3 linked regions of the Struthio camelus genome follow. The protein of the gene in region 1 interacts with the protein of each later gene in a pairwise test. Links are inferred from orthologs where the notes say so. Each region holds a gene or a part of one and is shown in the gene's direction. Other genes may lie near its edges.

What was found.
Region 2: the proteins of SETDB1 (region 1) and methyl-CpG-binding domain protein 1-like interact in binary tests that used the Homo sapiens proteins (3 or more experiments, as listed by UniProt). The link is inferred for Struthio camelus from reciprocal best matches to the Homo sapiens genes SETDB1 and MBD1.
Region 3: the proteins of SETDB1 (region 1) and TSC22D1 interact in a two-hybrid assay, tested with the Homo sapiens proteins (2 studies listed by BioGRID and IntAct). The link is inferred for Struthio camelus from reciprocal best matches to the Homo sapiens genes SETDB1 and TSC22D1.

Annotation. Positions count from the first base shown.
Region 1 is NC_090971.1:2,523,153-2,530,548, reverse strand, and holds the start of SETDB1 (histone-lysine N-methyltransferase SETDB1), read left to right. Parts: upstream 1-4,286; 5' UTR 4,287-4,416; intron 4,417-6,199; exon of another isoform or gene 6,200-6,275; 5' UTR 6,276-6,286; coding exon 6,287-6,498; intron 6,499-6,850; coding exon 6,851-7,023; intron 7,024-7,396. Other genes in the region: ARNT (aryl hydrocarbon receptor nuclear translocator), read right to left, coding at 492-585. UniProt on the Homo sapiens protein: Histone methyltransferase that specifically trimethylates 'Lys-9' of histone H3. H3 'Lys-9' trimethylation represents a specific tag for epigenetic transcriptional repression by recruiting HP1 (CBX1, CBX3 and/or CBX5) proteins to methylated histones.
Region 2 is NC_090979.1:628,838-636,198, reverse strand, and holds the start of methyl-CpG-binding domain protein 1-like, read left to right. Parts: upstream 1-4,342; 5' UTR 4,343-4,399; coding exon 4,400-4,509; intron 4,510-5,789; coding exon 5,790-5,904; intron 5,905-6,481; coding exon 6,482-6,604; intron 6,605-6,715; coding exon 6,716-6,789; intron 6,790-7,361. UniProt on the Homo sapiens protein: Transcriptional repressor that binds CpG islands in promoters where the DNA is methylated at position 5 of cytosine within CpG dinucleotides. Binding is abolished by the presence of 7-mG that is produced by DNA damage by methylmethanesulfonate (MMS).
Region 3 is NC_090942.1:190,717,616-190,724,752, reverse strand, and holds the start of TSC22D1 (TSC22 domain family protein 1), read left to right. Parts: upstream 1-4,134; coding exon 4,135-7,001; intron 7,002-7,137. UniProt on the Homo sapiens protein: Transcriptional repressor. Acts on the C-type natriuretic peptide (CNP) promoter. Acts to promote CASP3-mediated apoptosis.

The DNA of each region.
Region 1 (7,396 bases):
TTCAGTGCAGTTTAGCCAGAAATCTGATAAAGCCTGAAAGATTCAATTTCATTCAGCAAGCATCAGACATCATAGATTTCCAGCTTCCTCCAGGCAGAGGATCACCCCTTTGTTACTGACTTGAGAGAGCAAGAGTTGAAAGGATATTCTGCTTTCTTCTGACAGGCACGCACCAGCTATTCTGCTCAGCAGTTTAAAAACAGGTGGAGGTAAGATTTGTAAAAGTCCCTTTCAAAACACCAAGCCAATTCAAATAAACCTCAAGGAAACATATAGCAAAAAAGACCGAAAAAACAACATAAGCCATTAGGGATAACAAATGCAAGTGAGTCCCACCAGGCCTCCCTCCCTGCCAGAGGAGCTATGAGAGAAACCAGACCCCAGCACCATGTACGCGGATGAGGCATGCGCATGGCCCACGCCAGCCGTTCAAGCTAAGGGAGCAACAACAGGCACAAACATCTTTCTCTCCAACACGCTAGCTCACACACCATCTTCTTCTCTCCCCCAGCACCTCCAGCTCACTTTCCTCTTCCAAAACAACCTGCCGTTCAGCATAGTGCCCCCTTTCCAAGTTTCCCCCATTCAACAATCCCTCCACCACCCCACTTCTCCAAGCCCTTCCCGAGCACCCCAAGCCTCCCCCTGAGCTGGGTCCCTCAGCATCCTTTCCCCACCCCAACTCCCTCATCTGCTCTCCCAGGGCCACCCCATCAAGTCCTCCTGACATCCCTCCCCCACACCTCCTGACACTGTACCCCAAATGACACCCCTTATCCCAGCCCAGCACACCCAAATGGCCCCCCAACCCAGCACTCAGGCCCTGCAGCTCAGCCTAGACCTCTATAATTTCCAGTCCCTAGAGATAACCCCCCTTCACCCCCCTAAAGGCTCCCCTCACCCAACACCCAAGCCCCTTAGCTCAGCCCAGGCCCCTAAACCTCCCAGCCCCCAGAGAACACCCCTTCCTCCTCCCAAAGGCCCCTGACCAAGGCTCCCGTCCCCTCAGCCCTGCTCCCCCAACCCTCCTCACCCAGGCGACACCCTTGGGCCCCCCTAACCACCCGCCGGGACCTGGTCCACCCTAGTCCCCTCGCAACGACCCCTCTGGCCTGGCCCAGCCCCTCTTAACAGCCCCATTAGTCCAGCCCCTGCCAAAGCCCTCGGGCCCACCCAGCCCCTCTCAGTGGCTCTTTCGGCCCCGCACCCCTCAGCAGCGCCCTGCGCGACCCCCTTCGGCCTGGCCTGGCCCTGCCCTTCTACGGCCCGGTCCCCCAGCCCCCCACGCCCCCCTCAGAGCTCCTGAGCCCTGTCGCCCCCGCAGCTTGCTTCCGCGCCCCCCGCAAGCCATCTAGCGCAGCAGCTCCAGCTCACCCGGGTTGGCGGCGGTGGCTGCCATAACCGGGGCGGGCGGGCGGGCGGGCAGACTCCCCCCCCCCCTCCCCTCCTCCCTCCTCACCGCCGCCACTGCCAAGATGGCGGCGCAGGAAAACCCGGGGCGCTGCGGCGCAGCCTAGCCTGCCCGTCCAGAGGGGCGGGGCGGAGACGAGGCGGAGCATCCCCATTGGCCTAGACAGGGCTGAGGGGTGGGAGCAAAGAGGCAGGCAGCACAGCCTCTGCCAGCAGGGTAGGGTGACCCCAGGCATGTCCCGCCCCCTTCGCGGGGCGGGGGCGTGGCCAAAGCGGGGGTGTGTGGAGTGGGGGGGGCCAGTGGGAGACTTAAAGGGCGGTTTCGGTGACGTTCTATGTTGCTTTTTTTTTTTTTTTTTTTTTGTCGGAGGACAGGAACCCTATGGGGATTGGGACTGGGACTGAAAATGGACATGGAATTAGGATTTTGACTAGCATTGGGTTTGGACTCGGGCTGGGGATGGGATTGAGTTTAGGGATGGGGTTTGAATTTGGGATTGGCGGACTGGGACTGGGATTGGGGTCGGGCTGTGGCAGGAAAGTGGTAAAGTGGTTAATTATAGCCAATTTTCATAGCACACGCTGGGCCTGGCCCTCCAGAAGCCCCCGTGAGTGGGGCCGGATGGTGGCAGGGGCCAGCTGGGGTCCCCCCGCCTCTCCCCAGCATGGGAGGGGGTTCCTGGCTGTAAACGGGCTCATTCGGTTCGCTTCCCGGCGCGGCGCCCTCCTCGTGCGCTGCCCTTCGTCCCGCTGGCAGAAACCTGACAAATTATGCAAGGGGGGGGGCCATCGCCTGGCCTGACCCTGCAGAGCCCTTGGGGGGCCACAGGCCCTGAAAGGGTCACCCTTGGCTCCATTGGTGGGTGCTGAGGGTGCTCAGCACCCAGCCGGGACACCTGCCGCCCATGAGCTCTCACCCACAGCGCAAAGGAGCCGCTGGAAAAACTTTCAGCCTGAGCGGGCGATAATTTAATCTGCGAGATCGTTTCTCCTGGTTACTGCGAGTGCCTGAAAGGCGACGCCGCCGTGTTCCTGCAGTATTCATGAACCCCCGGGGATGGTGCCATGGCCCCAAAGCGGCACCGAGCAGGGCAGAGTGGCCAGTCCGTCTGTCCGCCCGCCTGCCAGGAGGTAAGGAACAGCCCCAGATGGCATGTCTGGGGCTGCTAGGGACGGGATCGATGGGTGCTACGGGACTTTGCGGGTCCTATTTCAGCATGTGCCGTCATTGGGGCTGAGCTCATTTGATCCTGGTGCATATGGCACTTTAATACGTATATATAGGCATATACATATATATATCGGCATAGATGTACATGCAGCTCAGGCCGCAGGGCTGTGCCTGACGGCCTTGCCAAGCCTCTACCTCTGCCCCTACCTCGTGCAAATCTGTCTGTCCGCCAGCATCTCTCTTAAGCAACCTGGAGACCCTCCACTGTCGCCACTTTTGGCTTTTCCCAGCCTCCACGGGCACCTGTCGCGTTTCCAATCTGAGCCATCACTTTGCGAAGGTTCAACTGAGCCCTGGCATGCTCAGTGCACCTAATGCTTCCGGGGGTCCTGCTGCTCTGGGGCAAAGTGGCTGTGGAAAAAAAAAAAAAAAAAACCAATAGCGGGGATGTTTTAAAGCTGGGCCAAACCGAGCCGGGTGATGCTGGGGCCGACAGCCCAGGGCCAGGGACTACGCACCTGAGGGCTGCCTGCATGGAGCCTGGCCCAGCCACCAGCCCTCCAGCCCTCGACGTGGACAAGGGCATCACCGTGGCCTTCGTGGTGCTCATGTGCCTCTTCCTGCTGGCCATGGCAGTGCGGTGCGCCCGGCTCGTGGTGGACCCCTACAGCGCCATCCCCACCGCCACCTGGGAGGAGGAACAGGTCAACTGAGCCCCACGGGGCCCGCTGGCACCCTCAGGGCTCCCCAGGGCTCCTGGCACCCCAGAACCCTCCAGCACCTGAGGCAACCCCAACACCTCCATCGCTTCACGGCCCCCCAGCACTCCCCAGTCACCCCAGGGCTCCTGGCACCCCAGGACCCTCCAGCACCTGAGGCAACCCCAACACCTCCATCGCTTCACGGCCCCCCAGCACTCCCCAGTCACCCCAGGGCTCCTGGCACCCCAGGACCCTCCAGCACCTGAGGCAACCCCAACACCTCCATCGCTTCACGGCCCCCCAGCACTCCCCAGTCACCCCAGGGCTCCTGGCACCCCAGGACCCTCCAGCACCTGAGGCAACCCCAACACCTCCATCGCTTCACGGCCCCCCCAGCACTCCCCAGTCACCCCGGGGCTCCTGGCACCCCAGGACCCTCCAGCACCTGAGGCAACCCCAACACCTCCATCGCTTCACGGCCCCCCAGCACTCCCCAGTCACCCCAGGGCTCCTGGCACCCCAGGACCCTCCAGCACCTGAGGCAACCCCAACACCTCCATCGCTTCACGGCCCCCCCAGCACTCCCCAGTCACCCCGGGGCTCCTGGCACCCCAGGACCCTCCAGCACCTGAGGCAACCCCAACACCTCCATCGCTTCACGGCCCCCCCAGCACTCCCCAGTCACCCCAGGGCCACCCGTTACCCACAGGACCCCCCAGCACTCCCCATCACCCCAGGGCCCCCTCCTTATACCCAGGACCCCTTACTGCCCCCAGCACCCTCCATCTCCCCAGGGCCCCCCCATTACCCCCGGGATCCCCTATTGCCCCAGGACCCTCCATCTCTCCAGCACCCCAGGGCTCGGGCTCCAGCAGGGGGGCGCTACCCCTTTAAAAGCGCCCTGCTTCTTTGCGCATGCGCTCTGGCCTGCCCGCAAGTCCCGGGCTGGCGAGCGGCGGTCCGCCTCATGCGCATGCGCACTATCGTGTCTCTGCGCCGTGCCGGCCAGAGGGGGAGAATTGGGCTCCTTGGGCTGCCGTTACCGGAAGTGACGCCAGTGACTTCCGGCTCCCCCCCCCACCGCCTGCTCTCTAGTAATCGGGGTCGCGGCCGGCCCCGGGCCTTAGGGGTGAGGTGAGTGTGGCTGGCCCGGGGGGGGTGGGCCTGGGAGCGAGGAGGGGCTGTGAGGCGGGGGGCATCGGGGAGAGGGGGTCTAGGGGTGAGGAGGGGGCTGTGGGGCGGGGGGCATCAGGATGAGGTCTGTTGTGGGGCTGTTGGGGGCAAGGAAGGGGCTGTGGGGCAGGTAGTGCTGGAGTGGGGTTTGTGAGGCGATATTGGGAGTAAAGGGGCGCTATGGGGCAGGGGGAATCTGGGTGGGGGGTCCTAGGGGTGGTGATGGGGTTATTGGGGGCAAGGCGGGAGCTGTGGGGCAGAGGGTATTGATGTGGGAGGGATATTGGGGGTAAGGAGGCTGTAGGACTTGGGCTGTTGGGATAAAGGTTACTGGTGGTGCTGGTGCTTTTGGAGGCAAGGAGGGGGCTGTGGGGCAGGGGTTATTGGCATAGGGGATGTTGGGAGGTTGTGAGGGGATACAGAGGGTAATGGGGGCTGTGGGGCAGGGGAAATCTGACTGAGAGGTGCTGAGGCTGTGGAGGGATGTTGGGGTCGAGGAGATGGCTGTAGGGCAGGGGGTATTGGAGTGAGGGTATTATGGGACTGGGGGGGATATTGAGTGGTAAGGAAAGGGCTGTGGGACAGGAGGATATTGGTGTGAGAGGTGGCGTGGGACTGAGAAGATGTTTGGAGTGAGGAGAGGGTTTGAGAGGCAGTGGAACAAGAGATGGAGAGTACTGGGTGGGGGCGTAGGGGGTCTGTGGGGTAGGGGGTATCAACGGCTGGGAGTTGATAGGTGGTTGTGGGCATAGGGGAGCTGTGGGGTGAGAGAGTGTTAGGGTGAGGGCTGTGAGGCAGGATGTGTTGGCAGCTGAGGGACTGATGGAGGCTTGGGGCGGAGGAGGGCTGTGGAGGTATTGGGATGGGGGGCTGTGGGGAGGAGGAGCAGGGTATTGGGATGGGGTGCAGCTGGGGGCTGTTGGGCAGGGAGCTAGCTATGAGGAGGGCACTGGGGTGAAGATGGGGCCAGTGAGGGGGGTTGGGGAAATGGGGGGCTGTGGGGAAATTGGAGGTTTTTGGGGTGGTGGGAGTGGAGCTGGGAGGTGTGGGGGGTGGGGGAGAGGTATATGGGGCTTGCATCTGGGGATGGCCTGGGAGCAGCTGGGAGAGAAATGCTGTGGGGGAGAGAAATCTGGATGGGGCTGGAGCAGGGCAATGGGAGAGAGGGGGGAGGCCTGGGATGGGAGGTGGCATGGGGGAGCAGGAGAGTGAGGGAGGCTGGAGATAAGTATTTGCTTGGATGCAGACAGGGAGAGTGCAGGGAGAGATGAGAGAGGGGCTGCTGGCAGGAGAGCGGACTTGAATATAGAGGAGACTGCTCGCTTTATCGCCAGGCACAGAGCGAAGGGGGCCACAGGCTGCACACCTGGAGAGGGGAAGCCGCTGGGGCCCTCCCTGGGGCTGGGGATGGATGTTATAATGCTCTTTACATACCCTAGGAAGGAGAGGGATGGAGCTGTTCTGGGCTGCTGCTTGAAGGCGAAGCTGTAGCACAGACTGGGAGAGGTGTCTGCTTGGTTTTTCCAGGCCAGGCAGAGGTGTCCGAGAGTTGGGAACGCTTCGCAGGTGTTGTGGAGAAGAGGGTTAGCGTAAGGGTCTGGTATTCAGCAGGATCCATGCAGGGATCAGAGAAAATACTTTCTGCTTGTCCTAGGAGCCTTCAGCTCCGTGGGTCATTTGCACTTTGGTTATTTTTGGCTCTCTGTAATGCTGTCTTAACAGAATATATAACATAATCTTCCAGATCAGCTCTTAAAAGTGGAGGCTGTGATAGAGCCATAGAATCTTGCTGGGCTTTTCTCAGCTCCTTGTGGCTTCAGGTGCAGCAGAAATGGATTCCCAGGAGATCAAAGAGCTACAACAAGAAGTTATGGAGGAGCTAGGTATCTCCATGGAGGAGCTCCAGGACATCATTGACGAAGAGCTGGAGAAGTTTGAGTGTGTGAAGCAGAGGAAGCAGCAGCTGGAGGAGCTGGAGAAGTGCGTGAAGCAGAAGGAAGAGGAGGTGGCTCACGTCGACCGGCTCTTTGATGATGCTTCAAGGTGGGCGCACTTGGAATTGTGGCTGTGTGTCCAAGTCAGGCCTTGAAGGAGCAGAGGAGATCAGATGGCAGGGTCCAGTGTTTTGAGCACTGCCTGTTTCCCGTCCGTGTGCACTGATGCTGCAGTTCTTCGTCAGCTCACTTGTATGAGGTTCTTGAGGAACAGTTAAAATTATTCCTCATCCTGTGGCTTCGAATTCTTCGCACAAATACTCTTTCCTCACCTACCAATGGTTATATTTAATTAGCAGGTCTCCAGCAGCACCTGTTTGTTTCTGTGTTATTGTGGGATGTACAGCTGGGTTCACCTTGTCTTTTCCTGTCTCTGCTCCTCTTTTTTTTTTTTTCCCCAGAGCCATTGATAAATGTGAGATATTAGTAAAAGATCTGTACTCCAAGCTGGGCCTCCAGTATCGTGAGAGCAGTTCTGAGGACGAGGACTTGGCTGCTAAGGCCACAGAAGTGATCGAGATCCCAGATGAGGACGATGATGATGTCATGAGCATTGACTCGGGCTGGAAGCACAGTTCAGTATCCCGTTATGCTGCGTGGTGCTGAGGGGAGGGATGGACATACGAGCGTGTCCTGGAGGAGGAAGGGAATGAGTAGGGATCAGGGTGAAGATGTTGTAAAGTAGCCCATAAGCACTGTTGGTCCTTAAGCACAAGAGGATCAGAGAGGAAATGCCCTTGGCTTGTGCGAGGAACATCACCTCTTGCGTGGTCTGTCTGGGCCTGTAACTATTCCATGGCTCTTGAGTTAAGGTTTGTTCAGGTGCCGAGCTGGGACCTTTCCCTTTTTCTGTCTGCCTGATCGTTGTCCCGTCAAATGCTGCTTTTGCTCTGGGGAAGCTGCCTGTATGGCAGATCATGCACCTAGAAAGGATGGCTTAGTAAAAG
Region 2 (7,361 bases), on another chromosome or scaffold:
CCCCCGTGTCCCCCGCGGCCCGCTCGGCGCCGCTCACCACCGCCCTGCGCACCGTCGCCGCCGCCTGACGGTCCCGAAACACCCGGCAACACCCCCAAAACCCCCCCGGAACCGCCCCCGAAACCCCCCCGAACCCCCCGCCCCCCCCTTCCGCCTCCTTCTGCCCCAAATCGCCCCCCGTGTCCCCCGCGGCCCGCTCGGCGCCGCTCACCACCGCCCTGCGCACCGCCGCCGACCGCTGACGGTCCCGAAACACCCGGCAACACCCCCAAAACCCCCCCGGAACCGCCCCCGAACCCCCCCCGAACCCCTCGCCCCCCCCTTCCGCCTCCTTCCGCCCCAAATCGCCCCCCGTGTCCCCCGCGGCCCGCTCGGCGCCGCTCACCACCGCCCTGCGCACCGTCGCCGCCGCCTGACGGTCCCGAAACACCCGGCAACACCCCCAAAACCCCCCCCGAACTGCCCCCGAAACCCCCCCGAACCCCCCGCCCCCCCCTTCCGCCTCCTTCCGCCCCAAATCGCCCCCCGGGTCCCCCGCGGCCCGCTCGGCGCCGCTCACCACCGCCCTGCGCACCGTCGCCGCCGCCTGACGCCCCCAAAACCGCCGGAATCTACCCCAAAACCTCCCCCTGCCCCCTCCCCACGACCCCCCCGGCCCCTAAACCCCCCCTGAACAGCCCATCTGCACCCCCCCACCTGATTTTGGGGCGGGTCTTGCCCTATTTTTGGGGTCCTGAGCTCCCCCCCCCAATTTTGGGGGGTCTCACCCCATTTTGAGTGTCCTGAGCCCCCCCTTAATGCCCCCCCACCCAATTTTGGGGGATCTCACCCAATTTTAGGGGTCCTGAGCCCCCCCCCTTAGGGCTCCACCACCCAACTTTGGGGGGGTCCCGGGGGGGGGGTTCTGCCCAATTTAGGGGTCCTGAACCCCCCACCCCCTTTTGGGGAGGTCTCCCCCAATTTGGGGGGTCCTGAGGCCCCCCTTGAGACCCCCCCACCCAGTTTGGGGGGTTCTCACCCAGTTTTGGGGGTCCCTGCCCAATTTCAGGGTCCTGAGGTCCCACTCGCACCTAGTTTGGGGGGGGGAATCTCACCCAATTTTGGGGGTCCTGAGCCCCCCTTTAAGACCCCCACCACCCAATTTTGGGGTGCTGAACCCCCCTACCCCCTTTTGGGGGGGGATCTCACCCAATTTTGGGGGTCCTGAGCCCCCTTAAGACCCCCCCACCCACTTTTGGGGGGGTCTCACCCAATTTTGGGGGTCCTGGGCCCCCCTTTAAGACCCTCACCACCCAATTTTGGGGGTTCCTGCCCAATTTTGGGGTCCTGAACCCCCCTACCCCCTTTTGGGGGGGATCTCACCCAATTTTGAGGGTCCTGAGCCCCCCCTTAAGACCCCTCCACCTAGTTTGGAGTGATCTCACCTAATTTTGGGGGTCCTGAGCCCCCCTACCCACTTTCGGGGGGATCTCACCCAATTTTGGGGGTCCTGGGCCCCCCTTTAAGACCCCCCCACCCAATTTGGGGGGGTCTCACCCAACTTTGGGGGTCCTGAGCCCCCCCCGTTAAGACCCCCCCACCCAATTTTGGGGGTCCTGAGCCCCCCTATTAGGGCCCCCTACCCACTTTTGGGGGGGTTCTAGGGGAGAGGGGGGCCTTCCACCCCCCCACAATAAAATTGGTGTTGAAAGTGGTTTTTTTCCTGGATTTCGGGGGGTCCCGGTGGCTTTGGAGGGGGGGGGGGCGCCGCTCATTAGCATAGCCCCGCCCCCCGGGCGGGACCGACCAGCGCTCGGTACGACGCTCATTTGCGTAGCCACGCCCTCGGCGACTCAGTGCCGCCGCTCATTTGCATAGCCCCGCCCCCGAGCGGGCCGACCGCGCTGCTCATTAGCGTAGCCACGCCCCGCACGGCTTGTCCGCGGTGCTTATTAGCATAGCCACGCCCCCCCCTCGCCCCGCGGTCACGTGTCCGACGGCGCGGGCTCCCGCGGGGATATTGGCGGCGGGGCGGGGGGGAAGGGAAGCGGCCGGCGCCACGTGGTCCGCCCCCCGCCGCGCTCATTTGCATAGCTCCGCCCCCTCCCAGCCGTGTGGGGTGGTGGTGGCGGTTCAGGTGACCGCGCTGCCGTCACGTGCTCGCTCCCTCCCGCCCATTGGAAGGAAGAGGGAAGGAGGGGGGAGGCCCCGCCCCTTCCCCCGCGCCGCCCTCCCATTGGCCGCGGCGGCGTCACGTGCGCCTCCTCCCCTTCTCCCCCCCCCTCCCCACCACCAGCTTCCCCCGACCCACCAGCCAATCAGAGGCAGCGGCGGGGCGGCTTCGCTTCCGCTTCCGGCGCGCGGCGCGGCCCCTCCCCTCCCCTGGCCGCGGTGCCCTCGCGCCGGCGGCGGCCGTTGCTGCGCCACGAGCGGGGCCGCGCCATGGCGGAGCGCGCGCGCGCCGCGGGGGCCGCGCCCCGGCCGGTACCGGGCGGCGGGGGGAGGGGGCGGTCGGGGGGCGGTTTGGGAGGGGGAGGGGCGGTCGGGGGGCGGTTTGGGAGGGGAAAAGGGCAGTTAGTGTGTGTGGGGGGGGGAGGGGCGGTTACGGAGGGGCCGGGGGCAGTTCTGGGGCGGTTAGTGAGGGGGAGGGGGCGGTTTGGGGGCGGTTTGGGGCGGTTTGTGAGGGAAAAGGGCAACTAGTGAGGGGGAGGGGGCGGTTTGGGGCAGTTAGTGAGGGAAAAGGGCAGTTAGTGAGGGGGAGGGGGCGGTTTGGGGCAGTTTGTGAGGGAAAAGGGCAGCTAGTGAGGGGGAGGGGGCGGTTTGGGGCAGTTTGTGAGGGAAAAGGGCAACTAGTGAGGGGGAGGGGGCGGTTTGGGGCGGTTTGTGAGGGAAAAGGGCAACTAGTGAGGGGGAGGGGGCGGTTTGGGGCAGTTTGTGAGGGAAAAGGGCAGCTAGTGAGGGGGAGGGTTCGGTTTTGGGGCAGTTCTGGGGCAGTTAGTGAGGGGGAGGGGCTGTTTTGGGGCAGTTAGTGAGGGGGAGGGGGCAGTTTGGGGCAGTTTGTGAGGGAAAAGGGCAGTTAGTGAGGGGGAGGGGGCGGTTTGGGGCAGTTAGTGAGGGAAAAGGGCAGCTAGTGAGGGGGAGGGGGCGGTTTGGGGGCGGTTTGGGGCAGTTAGTGAAGGAAAAGGGCAGTCTTGAGGGAAAGGGGCAGTTTTGGGGCAGTTTGTGAGGGAAAAGGGCAACTAGTGAGGGGGAGGGGTCGGTTTTGGGGCAGTTCTGGGGCAGTTAGTGAGGGGGAGGGGGCAGTTTTGGGGCAGTTAGTGAGGGGGAGGGGGCAGTTTGGGGCAGTTAGTGAGGGAAAAGGGCAGTTAGTGAGGGGGAGGGGCTGTTTTGGGGCAGTTTTGGGGCAGTTAGTGAGAGAGGGGCTGTTTTGGGGCAGTTAGTGAGGGGTAAAGGGCAGTTAGTGAGGGGGAGGGGGCAGTTTGGGGGCAGTTAGTGAGGGAAAAGGGCAGTTAGCAGGGGTGGAGGCAGGTTTTGGGGCTGTTTGTGAAGGAAAAGGGGAGTTAGTGAGGGGGAGGGGGCGGTTTGGGCCAGTTTTGGGGCAGTTTGTGAGGAGAAGATGGCAGTTAGTGAGGGGGAGGGGGCGGTTTTGGGGCGGTTTGAGGGGAAAAGGGCAGTTAGTGAGGGGCAGGGGTGGTTTGGGGGGGAGGGGGCGGTTTTGGGGCGGTTTATGAGGGGAAAAGGGTGGTTAGTGAGGGGGAGGGGCGGTTTGGGGGCGGTTTGCGAGGGAAAAGGGCAGTTAGTGAGGGGCGGGGGGCAGTTTGGGGCAGTTAGTGAAGGAAAAGGGCAGTTAGTGAGGGGGAGGGGGCAGTTTTGGGGCAGCTAGCGAGGGAAGAGGGCACTTCCTGGTGGGGCTGGGGCGGTTTTGGGGCAGTTAGTGAGGGAAAAGGGCAGCTAGTGAGGGGGAGGGGGTGGTTTGGGGCAGTTAGTGAGGGAAAAGGGCAATGTGTGAGGGGGAGGGGCTGTTTTGGGGCAGTTAGTGGGGGCGGGGGGCAGTTTCTGAGAGAACAGGGCACTTACTGCTGGGGAGGGGTCGGTTTGGGGGCAGTTAATGCAGGGGAGGGGGTGATTTGGGGCAGTTTTGGGGCAATTTGCGAGAGAAAAGGGCACTTAGTGCGGGGGGGGGGGCGGTTTGGGCCCTGTTGGTGTGGGGGAGGGGGGGGATGCGAGCCGGGGGGGGCGGGGCCGCTCGGGGGCAAGTCGCTCGGGGGCGGGGCCTGGCCGCTTGGGGGCGGGGCTTGGCAGAAGGGCCAGCCCGGACGCCTGGGTCCCAGCTGAGCCCCCCCCCCCCCTCCCGGCCCCGCAGTAGCCCGGCAGAGCCCCCCCCCCGCTCCAGCCCCCCCCCGCCGCCGCCGGCAGCGCCATGGCGGAGGGCTGGGTCGACTGCCCCGCGCTGGGGCCCGGCTGGAAGCGGCGCGAGGCTTTCCGCAAGTCCGGGGCCACCTGCGGCCGCACCGACACCTACTACCAGAGGTAGGAGGGCCCTGCCCGGACGCCTGGGTCCCTCCCCGGACGCTTGGGTCCTGCCCCGCCCCGCCCTCCCCACACCCCGGGGCGGGGGCCCAGGCGTCCGAGGTGCTTCGCAAAGCCGGGAAGGGACCCAGGTGTCCGGGTATCCCCCCCCCCCTCTACCCAGGGTACCAAGCTTGGGGGTGGGGTGGGGCCAGGCCTAGCCCCGCCCCTGGCTCCACCCCCACCCCTGATTTGGGGGAGGGGATCCCCCCCGTGTGCCTGCCTCCTTCCCCCTCTTCCCCCCCCCCAATACACGAAGTTCCGCCCCACTGTTTCAATGGGCTTTCTGCAGTTTTGGGGCTCCCCTGGTGGTTTCAATCCCCCTCAAATCTCTCCTGGTGGTTTCAAGGCCCCCCGCCGGTTTCAGGGTCCCCCAGGCAATTTCACCTCCCCCCAAAGCTCTTAGGGTTCCCCTGGGTTTTTGCCCCCCCCCCCAACCCGATACCTTTTCCATCATTTTTGGGGCTGCCAGGCCCTTTTTCCCCCCTGCAGAGCTTTCCTGGGCGGTTTCGAGCTTTTGTGTTTGGGTGGTTTCAAGAGCCCCTCCCTCAGGTGTTTTGGGGCTCTCCCTGATTTGGGGGGGCTGCCTGTTTTTTGGGGGGTCTCAGGGTTTTGGGGGCACCCCCAGATCCCCCTCATTGCTTCTGGGGCTTCCCAAGCCCTCCAGCCCCCTCCCACCCCAGTTTCTTTTGGTGGTTTTAAGGGTTTTTCTTTCATCTGTGGTTGGTTTCAAGGGCCTCCCTGAGTGTTTTTGGGCTCCCCTTGCTTTGGGGAGGCTCCCGGGGTTTTTGGGGGGCCCCAGGGGGTTTTGGGGCCCCCCTCGGTGTTTTGAGGTCCCCCTTGCTCCCCCACCCCCTCACTTCTGGGACTCCCCAGGCTGTTTCCCACCTTCCCTTAACTTTTCTTGGTGGTTTCAAGGCTTTGTCCTTGTTCCTCCTGGATGGTTTCGAGGCCCCCCCCCCCGGGTGTTTTGGTCTCCCCCAGTTTTGAGGGGCTCCCCGGATTTTGGGGAAGGGCAGGGGTTTTTGGGGACCCCTTCAACATCCCCCCCCCCCAGCACTTGGGGCTCCCCAGGCTGTTCCCTTCCCAACCTTGGCGGTTTCAAGGTTCCCCTTCGAGAGGTTTCAAGGCTGCCCCCCCCCGGGTTTGGGGGCTCCCTGGGTATGGAGGGAGCAAAGGGGGGATTGGGGGGGCCCCCGCGTTTTGGGCCCCCCCCCCCCGTGCTGACGTGCCGGCCGCAGCCCCACAGGGGAGAAGTTTCGCAGCAAGATCGAGCTGAGCCGGTTCCTGGGGCCGGGCCGGGACCTCGGCAACTTTGACTTCAAGCACGGCCTGGAGCGCCCCGGCGCTGTCAAGGTGCGCCCCCGAAACCCGGGGAGGGGGGGGGGACACCCCCGAAACGTGGGGGGGGGGCACCCAGGAGAGGGGAAGGGGGGGCCCCACAGCCGGCGGGGGAGGCTGCGGTGCGCAGAGGGGCAAAATGGGGGTGGGGGGAAGTGGGCACCCTGAGGGGTTGGGGGGGGTTATCTGGGTGCTGGGGGTGGGGCTGGAGCGCCCTGGGGTGTTGGGGGGGGGGACTGGCCCCAAAATGGGGGCTGGTCCCAAAAAATTGGGGGGGGGGCAAAATAGGGGGATCCCAAATGGGAGCTGGGAGGGGGCTGAAATTGGAGAGAGCCCAAAATGGGGGGTGTGGGGGGGTCACTAAAATGGAGGGGGGTCGTAAATGGGGGCTGAGGGGGTCTCCCAAAATGGGGGGGCTGCCAAAATGGGGGCTGGGGGTGCCCCAAAATGGAGGGAGGTGGTCCCAAAATGGGGGGGCCTCAAATTTGGGGGCTGGGGGGGGTGGGTTAAGATGGGCGGGGCCAACTGGAGGGGTCCCCAAACTTGCCCTGCCCCCCCCCCGTTAACCCTTCTCTTCCCCCCCCCCCCCCAGGCCAGGAAGGGCCCCAAGTGGCGCCCGCCCCCGGCGCCCCCCCTGGCGCCGGCGGAGGAGGGGCCGGCGGGGGAGGGGGGCGCCCCGGCCCCCCCGCCCCTGCCGCCCCCCCCTGCCGCGGCGGCAGCAGCCGGGCCGCCGCCCCCCTCCCCCTCGCCCGCCGGCGCCCCCCTGCTGCTGCTGCCCCCCTCCCCCGCCCCGGCCGCCGCCCCCCCGCCCCCCTCCCCTCCCCCCCCGCCGCCCCCCGCCCTCCCCCGGCGCACCCGCAAGCGGCCCCCCCCGGAGCCCCCCCAGGACCGCGTGGTGGCGTGAGTGCGGGGACGCCGGGGCCCCTGGGGGGAGGGGGGTGGGGCTTTGCGGGGGGGGGGGCGGCGCTCTCGGACGCCTGCGGGGAGGGGGGAGGGGGTCCCGGACGCCTCGGTGCTTGGTGGGGGGCATCCCGGACGCCTGGGCCCCTTCTTTGGGGGGACACCTGAGTCACTGCGGGGGGCGGGGGTGTCCCGGACGCCTGGGCCCCTGGTGGGGAGGGGGGGGGGGATCCCAGACCCCTGGGGCCAGGTCCCGGACGCCTGGGCCCCTGGTGGGGAGGGGGGGGGATCCCAGACCCCTGGGGCCAGGTCCCGGACGCCTGGGCCCCTGGTGGGGGGGGGGGGGGATCCCAGACCCCTGGGGCCAGGTCCCGGACGCCTGGGCCCCTGGTGGGGAGGGGGGGGGGATCCCAGACCCCTGGGGCCAGGTCCCGGACGCCTGGGCCCCTGGTGGGGAGGGGGGGGGATCCCAGACCCCTGGGGCCAGGTCCCGGACGCCTGGGCCCCTGGTGGGGAGGGGGGGGGGATCCCAGACCCCTGGGGCCAGGTCCCGGATGCCTGGGCCCCTGGTG
Region 3 (7,137 bases), on another chromosome or scaffold:
ATTTATAAGGAACCTGTGAAAATATTTTATCATCTAGGCTACTTCAGATGTGCTTTGTCTAGACTGTCATTTGGATTGTTAACTGGCCAGCAACCACAGAAGTTAACACTGTTGTTTAGATTTCATTTTTTCCCTTCAGTTTATTACGTAAGAACAGAGCTACGTAGAGCCAACATGTTGTTCTAATAAGCTTATTAGCCCAACAGAATGAAAGGTAACTACCTACATTTAAAATGAATAGAAGTTATTTAGTGTGCATGTGCAAAAGTAAATGTTTAACCAGTTATAATACTCCTCTCTTAATTCTTTTCCAAGCTTATTGCTTTCTATTACTCTTCGGAAAGTAGCTGCATACAGACTTCACAGTTCAATCATGTTGGAGCCACTTATGCACAGATTTAATTTTTTTAAAAAAATTTACACATATTCATAGACAATGTGTTTTAAAAGTAGCTGGACTTTATTTAAAAATTCAGAAAAATCATTTCTGAGCTGGGACTAATCATAGAAGACTTAATTCCTCAAGGAAACTGTTCTGGGAAAGTTATAAGCTGTCAGGACAGGAATTTATAATGGAAGCTAGCTTGCAGTCTTGGGCTCTCATCCCAAAAATGTTTATATACACATAATTTTCAGCATATGAGTATCTCATTAAACACACACATAAGGTCTCAGTGTTGCAACATGTTCCATGTAGACAGATCACGATGTGATGCTCTGTGATGCTTTGCTGAAGTCTGTGGGGGGGTTACATGAAGACACCCTCCTGTAGGGAGCTCCTGATAGGTTCAGCTGGTAGGGTATTCAGGCTGTTTTGTCTTGCACTGGCCCAGGCATACCAGGAAGTTAGTTGTGTTAGAAGATCCGATCAATTATCAGATTAAAAAAAAATATACTGTTATGTTCTCAAAAAAAGGCAAAATCTTGATTAACTGTGTGTTAATCGTTTCCTAGTGTTATGCACTGCCTGTATATAGACAGGGAGCTAGAGCTGTGAAAGGACCAAGGGTTGCAAATCTTCCTAGAGACCCAAGTGAACGTCTGCATTCCACATATAAAAGAAATTAGGCTGCAAAAGGTGTGATTTTCAAAGCCACTCCTGGCCTCACACTAAATGGAGAACTAGATGAGCTAGTTAACAGGAAAAGGCAAGATGGAGGGCTGATATTCAGATCTCCTGTTTCAGGAACAGGCAACAAAAGCCCCAGCTCCACGCGACCTTGAATCTCCCTCTTCACAAAATGGAGCCAGAAAAACAGCTTTTCCAGAATCTCAGTAATTAAACCCCACACACCGAATATGGGAGCCTCAAATCTCCTTTCTGCCTGGAGGAACTTGAATCTACATCTCCCAGAAGAACTCTCTAATGACTCAGCTATATGATATAATAGGTTGGATTCTCACAACGTCTCCCCTTGGAGCTCTACCACTCCTCATGACATACTTAAATATTCACTGCAGTAAACACCAAACTCAGCTCCTTCTCCCCTTGTCCTGTTGCCTGTCTTAATCAGCAGGTTTCATAACCAGGCTATAGAATTAGTCTGAGCCAGCCTCCCTCAAGTCCTGTGAACATTTAATTGTTCTAAGCAAACTGGAACAATTTCAAAGGAGTGATTGAGACATCTTCACGAAAGTCTATAGCTGGAGATTAGGATGCGCTGCTTGAAGATGGGAAATACGAACCTCTGCCCTCCTGATAGTGATGAACATCCTACTCACCAGATCACTGAGAAAACGGGGAGAGGGCATGAACCTTTTTCTGTCTTTCTAGGAGAGCAGGACGTGCCATTTAGTGAGCTGTGAAAACGCTCCTAGAGAGCGTCCTGCAGGCAAGAGAGGTGGAGCAATGCGAACAGCACGAATTGCAGTCAGGTTTGTGTGGCAACAAGATACCGACCCTCTCGGCACTCATCACCCTTGGGCCGCTCTGTTAAGTTAAATTTAACAGACATGTAGACGCTTAGGAAAATCCCTCGGCAAACACGGAGACATCTAGTGTCTAAGATGGTAGCCAAGGAAGGATCAGGAGAATCTAAATTTTGGACAGGGAGCAGCTACAGCAGCAGGTAGCCACCAACGTGGCAGGGAAGTGGCCGAGGGGCGCGTCGAGCCTCGCTGCTGCACTCCGCGGCGGGCCACGAGGTCCTTCCTCCCTCACGAGACGCCGGCGCAGGAACGGCGAGAGGCAAGACTGATGGGCTTCCCCTTGTCGCACAATTTTAAGAACAGCCGTCAACGGCAGCGTTCCTGAAACCGGGGCTCGGCTTCCGACGCGCCCACACGGGAAGCGCCTCCACGTCCGCGCCGCCCCGGGCGGAAGGGCCTCGCGCCGGGCCGCTGCGCTCGCACCTCGGCGGCGCTGCCCGCGGTGACGCGCGGTTTTCGACGCTCGCGGCAGCCGCGGTGCCCCGGGCAACGTCCCCCAGAGACGGCTGCCGCCTGCGACACTGCACCCACCCGGGGGGGAGCCCCGCCGCCGGGCCAGGGCCGGGGCCGGGCGGCCATTTCGGGGCACGAGGGGACTCAGCCCGAGGCGGCACAAAGGGAAGCGCAGCCCCCGGGCGGGCGCCTCAGGTTTCCCCCATTCACGGGGCGGGGAAGGAGAAGGAAGAGGAGAAGCGGGGGGGGGCGGGAATATTCTGGACCGAGAGATGGGAGGAGGACGGAGGTGATGAATAACTTGAATAAATCTGCAGCGCAGCGGCGGAGATGGGGGAAGGGAGGCAGCGGCGGGTCATGTGAGGCAGAGTCATGCTGCGGCCCCGCGGAGGGAGAGGCACCCGGGGCCGGGGGCGCCCGCCCTCTCGCCCCCTCCCCAGGCCGGGAGAAGGAAGGAAGGAGGGGCACCCTGCCACCGCCCCCCTCCTCTTCCCTGCCCCCCTCCGCCGGGCTCGGCGCCGCTCGGCAATTTCCGCCGCTCGAGCCGAGCCTATTTCCGCCGGCTGGGGCCAGACGGGCTTTATGTCTGCCGGCGGGGCGCGCATGCGCGGCCGCCGCCATCTTACGTTGTCTGTCGCCTGCCCTCCCCTTTGGCGAGCTTTCCCCTCCCCGCTGCGGCCGCGCGCAGCGGCGCCCTCCTCCTCCTCCCGCGCCGTGCGAGGAGACGGGGCCGGGCCGGCGAGAGACCCGCTGTGGCAGGGAAGCCGGGAGAGAGACGCGGAGCGGGGAGGAGGAGGAGGAGGGGGGAGAGAAAGAAAAGGGCAGACGCACATTTGGGCGGAGGACTAATTCCCGGCGCGGTGCTGCGGAGGAAGAGCCGGTGCCGCCTGTTATAAAGGGGGAGGCGGCGGCGGCGGCTGGGGGGGGGGGGGGGGGAAGGAAGAGCGTGTGGAGCGGAGCCTCCTCCAGGGACAGCCAGACACAGAGGGAGGAGAGCGCGGCCGCCCGCCCGCCTGGCTGGTTGGCGTCCCCCTCCTTCCTGCCTCCTTGCCTTTCATGGACTCTCTCGTTGAGCCGCCGCGGCTTTTCTTCCCTCCTCATCCCGTCTCGCGAATACCCAAAATGATTCAGCTCCATGGCTGCCACTGACGGGGATGTCCCTGCCCGGCTCAGCCTGCTGCTGCCGCCCTGCCGTGTGCCGGTCCTGTACGTATCTGCGCCCTCCTTACTGCTGCTGCTGCTACTAGGGGCATGGCGGGGGGCGCCGCGGGGCCGAGCCTCTCCGCGGGGAGCGGAGGGGGGAAGGGGCTCGGCCCCGGGGCTGCCCGGCCAACGCGGGCATTTCCTCCGCCTGCTGCCCACCCCCGGGAGAGGAGCGGGGCTGCTGGTGGTGGGGGGGGGGGTTGTAATGGAAAAGGGGTGTGGGGTGGGGGAAGAGAAAGTGAATGGCGAAGGATTGGAAGTGTCACATTCAGAGAGGCGGCGGAGGACCGGTGCTCGCCCCCTCCCTGTCTCGGGGGGGGGGGGGAAGGGGAGGCGGGGGGGGTGGTTGGCAGTGCCGAGCCGTCTCAGCCCGTGTGTGCTGGAGCCGGGGCGGGGGGGGGGGGTTGTGTGTGGTGTCTCGCTGCCCTGCCGTGAACGCCGAGCTAACTGTGCGTGTGTGTGTGTGTGTCTGTGTGTGTGTGTGTGTCTGTGTGTGTCTCTGTCTCTCTCCATACCGGGGGATTGCACGCTTTAAATACACCCGATACAATGCACCAGCCTGACTCAGCCGCAGACATTAGTGCTAGGAAGATGGCGCACCCGGCAATGTTTCCTAGAAGGGGCAGCAGCAGTAGCAGCGGCAGCAGCTGCGTTACTGCTCCCACTGCGCCAGGTACCGGTGTTGGGAGCGCTGCCCTCGCCGCCGAGGATTATCAGCCGCCTTTGCTGGTCCAGCCGCTGCCTCCGTCCCCTGCAGCATCTTCATCGGCGGGTCCACAGCCGACACCCCCTCCTCCACAAAGCCTGAACCTCCTCTCGCAATCTCAGCTCCAGCCGCAGCCTCTTGCACAGACTGGAGCTCAAATGAAAAAGAAAAGTGGCTTCCAAATTACCAGTGTGACCCCTGCTCAAATATCAGCCAGTATGAGTTCTAATAACAGCATAGCTGAAGATACGGAAAGCTACGATGACCTGGATGAGTCCCACACTGAAGACCTGTCGTCTTCAGAAATCCTGGATGTTTCTTTATCCAGGGCCACTGACTTGGGAGAACCGGAGCGGAGCTCCTCTGAAGAGACTTTAAATAACTTCCAGGAGGCAGAGACTCCTGGGGCTGTTTCTCCAAACCAGCCTCATCTTCCTCAGCAGCACCCTCCTCTGCCACATCACCCACAGCAGAGCGTTGTGATCAATGGAAACGTTCACCCCCATCACGTTCACCATCACCACCATCTTCACCACCACCATCACGGACACCATCATCCATCGCATCCTGGGGTGGGCAGTACACCACTTTCTGGAGGACCACCACCTAGTCCATCATTTAGAAAACTCTCAACAACTGGAAGCTCTGACAATGTTATATCAACTGCACCAGTTTCTGCTGCATCATCCACTGGTTCCCCTGCATCTGTCATGTCTAATATCCGCACTACAAGTACTCCTGGCAATTTAGGTGTAAGTCCTGCTACCGGAACTAGTCCCTTAAGTAATTTGGGTGGTGGTAGTTCTAGTGTGGCAAGCAGCATGCTTGGTACTATAAATTTAAGTAACATCCCAAGTACTGGTAACGTAAATGCTTTGTCTGGAACTAGCAGCAATGTTAGTGTGAATATCTTGAGTGGTGTTGGCAATGGTACGAGTGCTTCCTCTAATGTCGTTAACAATGTTACTAATCCAGCTGCAGGAATGGCAGTGGGATCAAGCCAGCAGCAGCCCGCAGCTGGCACATCGAGGTTTAGAGTTGTAAAATTAGATTCTAGTTCTGAACCTTTCAAAAAAGGTAGATGGACATGCACTGAATTCTATGATAAAGAAAACACTGTTGCAGTTACAGAAGGAGTAGCAGTAAACAAAGCAGTAGAGACGATAAAACAAAACCCGCTTGAAGTGACTTCTGAAAGGGAGAGCACCAGTGGGAGTTCTGTTAGCAGCAATGTAAGCACACTGAGTCACTATACAGAAAGTGTGGGAAGTGGAGAAATGGGAGCACCTACTGTGGTACAGCAGCAAGCATTTCAAGGTGTGGGTCCGCAGCAGATGGATTTTAGCAGTGCTGCTCCTCCGGCAATTCCAGCATCTAGTATACCACAGAGTGTTTCTCAATCGCAGCTTGCACAAGTACAGCTGCATTCTCAAGAAGTCAGCTATCCACAGCAGAAGCAAGGGGTCCCACCTCCTGCACAGGCCAGTCTAACCACTGTTACTGGGGTTCAGCCAGCCCCAGTTAATATACTAGGTGTATCCCCGTCTCTGGGCCACCAACAACCTGCCATTCAAAGTATGGCTCAACAGCAGCTCCCGTATTCTCAGCCAACGCAGCCTGGGCAACCTTTGCCAGTTGTACAACAGCAGCAGTTGCAGTATGGACAACAGCAGCAGCAACAAACAGTTCCTACCCAGATGACCGCAGGTCACGTGAAACCAGTAAACCAAAACTCTGTTACGGGGGCTATGCCAGACTACATTCAGCATCAGCAGATCCTTCAGACTCCAGCGCCTGCCATGCAGCCCAGTTCTGCAGGAGTGGGAGCAGGCACACCGGTTCCTGTTGCTCAGGCACCGAGCATGCAGCCTTCCGTACAAGCACATCCTGCTGCTGCTCCAGCTCAGCCTGTTGCACATGCTCCGGCATCAATACCTGGCGTAGGTACCAGTGGCCAAATGCTCGGTGTTGGGCAGCAAGGAGGTGTAGCCACTGTGGTGCAACCACCATCTGCTGCAAACCAAATTCCACCCCCAGTTATGCCGTCAGCAGCTGCTCCTCCATCTTCACAAGTAGTGCAGCCTGTGCAGACAGGCATAATGCAACAGGGATTACAGGCTAGTGCTTCAGGCCTTCCTCAGCAAATGGTCATTGCTCAACAAAACACTTTGTTACCTGTACAGCCACAGGCCCAAGCAGTGGAGTCTGTAGTCCAAGGAATGACCAGCCAGCAGCTGCCCGCCGTTAGCCCTATACCTTCTGCCAGCACTGTTGCTGCACCGAGTCAAGCTAGTTCAGCTGTACCTCCTGGCATACCTTCTGCTTCTATAGGTTTGGGGCAGCCGCAGAGCATAGCACAAGCGTCGGCTGTACAGAATGGGAGTTTGGCTCAAAGTGTTAGTCAGCCTCCATTGATATCAACGAGTATAGGTATGCCAGTAGCACAGAGTATGCCACAGCAGATGCCACTAAGCTCTACCCAGTTCCCTGCACAATCAGTAGCTCCGTCAATTGTAAGCCAAATTGAAGATGGCAGACGTCCTACAGAACCTTCCTTAGTCGGTTTACCTCAAGCTGCCGGTGGTGACAGCGGTGTTGGAGCATCAGCTGTTTCAGACAGCAGTGGTAGCAGCATGCCATCCTCTGCTTCCCTGTTTCCGCTGAAGGTACTGCCATTGACAACACATCTTGTTGATGGTGAGGATGAGAGGTAAGATTGCCTGTAACTGTACTAAAAGATACACGGTACGATAGTTTGAGATGCACTAACTTGCAGCTCTTATTGCAGCTGTTCTGTGAGATGAAGCACTGTGATATTTTTGTCTAATTCGAAATATTGTTTATCA